Macaca fascicularis: one gene and its partner. The protein of the gene in region 1 purifies or fractionates together with the protein of each later gene. This does not show direct contact. Links are inferred from orthologs where the notes say so. Each region holds a gene or a part of one and is shown on either strand. Other genes may lie near its edges.

Region 1 (3,656 bases):
TTTTCCTAGAAGTTTTATTATTTTAGGTTTTATATTTAGGTATATGATCTATTTTTACTTTTATTTTTGCTATTTTTGCATATAATATGGGCATAGGTCAGAGTTTTTTGTTTTTTAAATACGTATATCCTGTTGTAGAGTATCATTTGTTGAAGAAACAAAAGGAGTAGAATGGATATAGATGGTATGTGAACTTCTTGGAACATCTTCAAGAAGCCCTATCAGTTTAAAAACAAATACTTGAGAAACACTGTCACATTATATATAGATAAAAATATTTGATTCCATATTTTTTGGAGGGAAGGTAGTGGATTGTGGCTCAAATGTAATGGAAGAGTGAACATTGAAGAAAGATGAGCAGTTATATTGTGAAAGATCATGTTGTAGGAATACTAAGTTAATAGTATCTGAAACTGTTAAGTAGTTCACTTTAAGCACAAAATAAATTGTGTATAATAGTGTTTTTTGGGAGTCAACTTGTTCCCCTTTGTAGGTGCAGACGCTTTTCTTTTTGTTGTTGTTGTGTTAATGGATTGAATTAGAAAATACCATGATATATTGGCCGGGCGCGGTGGCTCAAGCCTGTAATCCCAGCACTTTGGAGGCCGAGACGGGCGGATCACGAGGTCAGGAGATCGAGACCATCCTGGCTAACACGGTGAAACCCCGTCTCTACTAAAAAAATACAAAAAACTAGCCGGGCGAGGTGGCGGGCGCCTGTAGTCCCAGCTACTCGGGAGGCTGAGGCAGGAGAATGGTCTAAACCCGAGAGGCAGAGCTTGCAGTGAGCTGAGATCCGGCCACTGCACCCCAGCCTGGGTGACAGAGCAAGACTCTGTCTCAAAAAAAAAAAAAAAAAAAAAAAAAAAAAAAAAAAAAAGAAAATACCATGATATATAACACACAGTAAGATGTATATTGTTTTATGATAATTTTGTTCCCGTTAGATATGTATGTGTTCTGGGTTGTGATGTAAAATGTTTTTACTGTGGGGTACAATGAAAGATTTGAAAGCCATTTTTTCTAGAATGGTCAGGTTATATTGATATGGAACAATTTTAAAAAATAATTTTCCTCATATGTTTTAGGTGTGAGTTCTTGATACGAATGAAAGGTCAAGAGTTTGTTGATGAGATTCAAGGTAGATATCCTCATCTTCTTGAACAGGTAAATATATTTTTAAAATCAACAACTTTGAATTCTGCTTTATAATAAAAATACTATTAGATTGGTGCAAAAGTAATCATGGTTTTTGCCATTGAAAATCATGACCAAAACCGTGACCACTTTTGTACCAACCTGTATTAGAAGTTATACTTATTTCTCTTTTATTAATTGTAGGTACATATTTTCATTGATGTTAATGACAACTTTGATTTTTACTTTTGTAATCAACTTGATTGTTTAGGGCTTTTTAAAAAGATTGTTGTTTGTTTTTACTATTTTGAAAAATCATTTATGCTGCCACTGTACAAATTTGTGATGGGATTAGAGAAGGAGGTTTAGTGTCTCTTTGCTGTTTTCCAGAAAAACAAACAAAAAATAACTTGTTAGGCTCTGAGACCCTTTGAGAGTAACCCAGTTAAAATCTTATTTTCCTAATGGAATGAGAAACCACTGATACATTTTTCTACTTTCCTGAAACTAGAGAAATACTTGAATTCTAATTTGGGATAACATGAAATTTAAGGAAATCTATGTGATTAGGGTGAAAGAAAGCAAAGTAAAGCTCATAAATCACTCAGTTCTCAATAGAATATATACATATACTTAACATAAACTTACTTTAGTGTTGTTCCTTTCAGATTGTTGGGGATATCTGATTTTACCTATTAACTTTTCTCTTGTTTCATAGCTGTTGTCAACTTCGGATACTACTGGAGACGAAAATGCTGACCCACCAAGTATGTATGAAATAATTTTAAGTATAGAGTGTAAATTTTTATAAGAATTTTAGGAATAGGCTGGGTGCAGTGGCTCATGCCTGTAATCCTAACACTTTGAGAGGCCGAGGTTGGCAGATCACCTGAGGTCAGGAGTTCGAGACCAGCCTGGCCAACATAGTAAACCCCGTCTCTACTAAAAATACAAAAATTAGCCAGGCGTGATGCGCCTGTAGTCTCAGCTACTCGGGAGGCTGAGGCAGGAGAATTGCTTGAACCCAGGAGGCGGAGGTTGCAGTGAACTGAGATTGTGCCATTGCACTTCAGCCTGGGCGACAGAGTGAGACTCGGTCTCCAAAAAAAAACAAATGTAGGAATGAAAGTATGTACTTTTTAAAAGAGTTTCTGAAGCCATAGGGAAAAATACTGGGAAGTCAGCTAATAAATATTTTATATATATATATATATATGCTTACACACTAGTTTTTGTTCTAGTGCTATACTTACCACTTTTAGTGCTGACATTCCAACTGGAGAAATGAGACATAAGCAAAAGAAAAACAACAGATAGCTTGAAGCAATGCCAAATAAGCGGTGCAAATAATAAGCCCCCCAGATAATAAGCCCCCCAGAAAAGAAAAGGTTGCTGTGAGCTAGCATGATTTGGAAAAGCAGTTCACATATGATTTACGAATTGGACTAGATGTTAGGTATTTAAGTCAGGTATGTTGTATTTCAACGCAAGGGCAGGAAATAGTATAGCTTTTGATTAGAGCTTAATGTTAGCCACATCTGCCAGTTTATGTAATATACATATGTTATGGTGTCTAAAATGGCTAAGGTAATAATCCACTGTTTTATGTACCAAGGGCCATTCTGTTTGTGGCACAGCATTTCAAGAAAGATACTGGTAGATTTGTTAACTGGACCAGAGAAAGGTGACCAAGATGTATGAATCTTAGAAACCATGGCTCAGGAGGACTGGATGAAGGATTTGGTAGTATTTGACTGGGAAATAGGAAGGAGAGTACCTGGGTACATGACAGCTATCTCTTGTGTAATGGACCTAGAAAAGATAGATAGCAGTGTGGGCTGTTCTTAAAATTTTTAACCACTGCTGTCAAGTAGGCTCCCCTGAAGTTCTACCGTAGTTCCTAATAAAATCACTTTGTCAATCTTTAAATGACTGTTTCTTGTTTTCTTTCTTGGTAATTTTCTAACACTCTCTTCCCACCTTGTCAGTTTATAACCTTGCTTCCCTAAGAAAATAGAATCCAAAAGAGAGCTGCTTTATTGCCTCACCAGCAAAACCACAAGGCTACATAATTTATCCTTGTACTTTTCTTTCTGTTCGTTCATAAGAGATGAATTGTTCTTTCCTTTTTCTAAGGCCAATACTTCCACTTTTCCTCTGTATTCCATCCCCTGCTGCCAACTTAAGAAGGTTACTTTGGCAGTGACATACCCTTTCTCTCGAGTCTTCAATTTTTCCATCTCTCCTGAATCATTCATGTTAGCATATAAACATAATGTACTTTTGCTAATCCTAGGAAAACTTCCATGAACCAATGTCCCCATTCAGCTATTATCTTATTACTCTGCTTCCCTTTACAACAAAATACCTAGGAAGATTTATCTATGCTTACTCTGTTTTACTTTCTCACCTTTCATTCTTTCTCTTACTTGTTCTGCTGGAACTGTTCTTGTCATGGTAACCAAGGACTGCCATGTTAGCAAATCCACCACTTGACCTGTTAACCAGCATTTGATAAT
Region 2 (3,656 bases), on another chromosome or scaffold:
GTACATATGTATGTGGATGTGGCTTTTAATTATTTAGAGACAGGGTCTCACTCTGTTGCCCAAGCTGGAATGCAGTGTCATGATCATGGGTCACTGTAGCAGCCTTGATCTCTCAGGCCCAAGCAATCCTCCCACCTCGGCCCACTGAGTAGCTGGGACTACAGGCATGTGCCATCCTGTGTGGCTAATTTTTAAATTTTTTATACAGATAGGGGTCCCCCTATGTTGCCCAGGCTGGTCTCAAACTGTTGAGCTCAAGTGAACCTCCCTCCTTCACCTCCCAAAGTGTTTGAATTACAGGAGTGAGTCACTGTGCCCAGTCCTATTTCTTTGTTAAATCTTTTCTTTGTTGAAATGCTTGTGATGTAGAAAAAAGGTTAGTAGGAAATACAAAACCTTAGCCTTTATTTTACTTGAAAATAGTTCTTCTATTCAGAAATATTTAAGTCACATATTTATATACATGGAACTTCTGTTTGGAATTCCCGTGGTAGATCACTTCAGAAAAATAAAATGAGGAAGCTAGGTTACGCATCAGCATTTGAATGCTGCTTTCTGCAGAAGCAATGTCTACCTTTGGTAGCTTTTCCTTTGCTATTCCTGAAATCACTTTATTATGTGGCTGATCAACAGTCAAATTATTCTTCCTTGTTTCACTGTCTTCAAGCAGAGGAACACAGCCATAATTGCCATCTGCAAGACAAAAACCTCTTGGATATTAGCAGAAAACCCTTATTTTTGGTACCACCTGAAAAAGCAAAAGTAATACAAACTCAAAACCGTAAAGAGAATAGATTTTAAGGTAGGAGTTTTAGAAAATTCTTTAGGTAATAGTTACTTTGACAAGTTGTCCATTTACATTTTTTCCTTCCCACTAAACATACAAAACCCCTGCTCTCCAAAAGTCAGCAGTATGTAAAATATACAGAATTTAGAAAACTAGAAATATGCTCTTTGCCCCTGTCAGCAACAATTCAACTTTTATATAAGTCATATTTTCAGGTATGCATTTCTTATTTAAGATAATTATTTGTATTATGACTCCATGCTTATCATAGGAAAATTAGAAAATGCAGACAGCCAAAAAGAATAAAAAGTAAATGTTACCCAAATTTTTATCACCTGTGAATTATTCCAGTTAATACTTCTGTTCCTAAACACATAAATTCACACAAGAATCACCTTTTTCTGCATAAATGAAAATAACACTTATTTACGTATCCTGCTTCGTTCATTTTGCTATATATCATCAACATATTCTTACAAGTTAATACTTATTATCACTTTTCTTGGCTACATAGCTATTCATATAGATCACTGTAACTATTGAATATTTGTTTCTAGCTTTCCATGATTAGAAATTATACTGCGATACACATCCTTGCATATATATTTTTGAGTACCTGAACAAATGTTTTCTCATGATATAGTCTTAGGACTTGAGTTTTTGGTTCAAAAGGCATGGATGTTTTCAAAAGCTTTTGCTGCTATTTACTGGCAAATTGCTTTTTAGAAAGTTTTATAAACTTAGAGTTCCACTGTATTGTATAGTATAGTATAGTATAGTATAGTATAGTATAGTATAGTATAGTATAGTATAGAATAGTATAGGTGAAAGTCCACTTTCCCATATCCTGCAAGTGTTCATTTAAATAAATGTAACATATAACTGTACCACAGTTATAATATCAAAACTACTGAGAAACAACGAAGGAATAAAACAGAAGAACTCAGCTTACACTTTTCACCAAGAGGTTCTAGAAATACATAAAAAATTAACATGCACATACCTTGAGTGGAATTCACAAGAAGTAACTGTGATTTTAGCTTGTCAATAATAGTTTGTTGAAGTGACAGCTGTTCCTGTTGTTCACGTATTCTCTGCTCATAGTTCTCAGTCTGCTGACATAAAAACCAGTTAGCCTGATATTTACTGACAGACATGAACACATTATTTACCATCCATTAATAATATAAATAGATATGAGTTGCCCACATTGTCATTTTGCAGGTATTGTGATTTATGAGATACAAACTGGCTCCAGGAATGTACTTGTAATTGCTACAAACATTTGTGATTGAAGACACTTAAAGCACCGTAAAAGTTTTAAAGATTATCTTATTTGGCCAGGCGCGGTGGCTCATGCCTGTAGTCCCAGCACTTTGGGAGGCCGAGGTGGGTGGATCATGAGGTCAGGAGATCGAGACTATCCTGGCTAACACGGTGAAATCCCGTCCTACTAAAAATACAAAAAAAATTAGCCGGGCATGGTGGTGGGCGCCTGTAGTCCCAGCTACTTGGGAGGCTGAGGCAGGAGAATAGCATGAACCTGGGAGGTGGAGCTTGCAGTGAGCCGAGATCGCGCCACTGTACTCCAGCCTGGTAGACTGAGCAAGACTCCGTCTCAGGAAAAAAAAAAAAAAAAGGATTATCTTATTTAAACACATATCAGTCAAGGATTCAATCTACGATTTCCTGATCCTTCAGTAAGGATCAAAACTGTAATTTAGCATTTATTCCTTAAAGAAAAAAAAAGCACAAATGAAACAACAAATACTATATTAAAATGATTTTTTAAAAAATACACACTAACTTAAAAAATTAAGATTTTGTGTCTTTCAAATAAACACACTTCTAAATTTATTTTTAGGGTACACAAACACTAAGGAAGTGTTGATAAAAATCAAAGGGACAAATACAAATTATAAAATTATAATGACCAGAAACTTGTCTGCTAAGTTTTAAGAAATTAAGAGAACACCATGGTTGACCTTTGGTGTCTATCTTAAATGCCATAGTTTCCCTTATATTGTTAATCCATTCATTTTGCTATTTTATTACAATGACTGTGAAAATACAGCAATGAAATAAGACACAAGTTTGTACTGAAGAATACAGATGCCGCAAACCTTCAAGCAAATTTGAAACTGTTGTATCACAATTACCAAATTAGTACAGTCTTAAAAACGTATCACCAAACAGTAACAGAGAACTTTTTTTTTTCTTTAACCAATTTCTATCCCTGGAGGGATAAATAATGTTTAAGTTGCAAATTCCTTGAAATATAAAATGAAAATGAAGTTCTAATAATCTCAGAATGATATTCAGTGGATACTATTTGACTTTAAACTGATTCTTTTTTTTTTTTTTTTTTTTTTGAGACGGAGTCTCGCTGTGTCTCCCAGGCTGGAGTGCAGTGGCGTGATCTCGGCTCACTGCAAGCTCCGCCTCCCGGGTTCACGCCATTCTCCCGCCTCAGCCTCCCAAGTAGCTGAGACTACAGGTGCTCGCCACCACGCCCGGCTAGTTTTTTGTATTTTTAGTAGAGACGGGGTTTCACCATGTTAGCCAGGATAGTCTCGATCTCCTGACCTCGTGATCCACCCGCCTCGGCCTCCCAAAGTGCTGGGATTACAGGCTTGAGCCACCGCGCCCGGCCTAAACTGATTCTTAAAGTTCAAAATTAGTGAAGCTCTATTATTTTCAGAGACCAATAAACTTAAAAATTTTAATAAATTACACAGCTGTTCATAGATTAGCAAATATAAATTAGCTTAAGAAATTAAAGCTGGCAGTGAAACTCCGTCTCTACTAAAAAATACAAAAAACTAGCCGGGCGAGGTGGCAGGCGCCTGTAGTCCCAGCTACTCGGGAG

The links. Proteins that work in one complex are often made in the same cells at the same time.
Region 2: the proteins of BIRC2 (region 1) and TANK purify together in Homo sapiens (affinity purification with mass spectrometry; 4 studies listed by BioGRID and IntAct, with this or other methods). This does not show direct contact. The link is inferred for Macaca fascicularis from reciprocal best matches to the Homo sapiens genes BIRC2 and TANK.

What each region holds. Positions count from the first base shown.
Region 1 is NC_088388.1:101,372,330-101,375,985, forward strand, and holds part of BIRC2 (baculoviral IAP repeat-containing protein 2), read left to right. Parts: intron 1-1,088; coding exon 1,089-1,167; intron 1,168-1,855; coding exon 1,856-1,904; intron 1,905-3,656. UniProt on the Homo sapiens protein: Multi-functional protein which regulates not only caspases and apoptosis, but also modulates inflammatory signaling and immunity, mitogenic kinase signaling, and cell proliferation, as well as cell invasion and metastasis.
Region 2 is NC_088386.1:56,627,830-56,631,485, reverse strand, and holds part of TANK (TRAF family member-associated NF-kappa-B activator), read right to left. Parts: intron 1,900-3,656; coding exon 1,791-1,899; intron 694-1,790; coding exon 575-693; intron 1-574.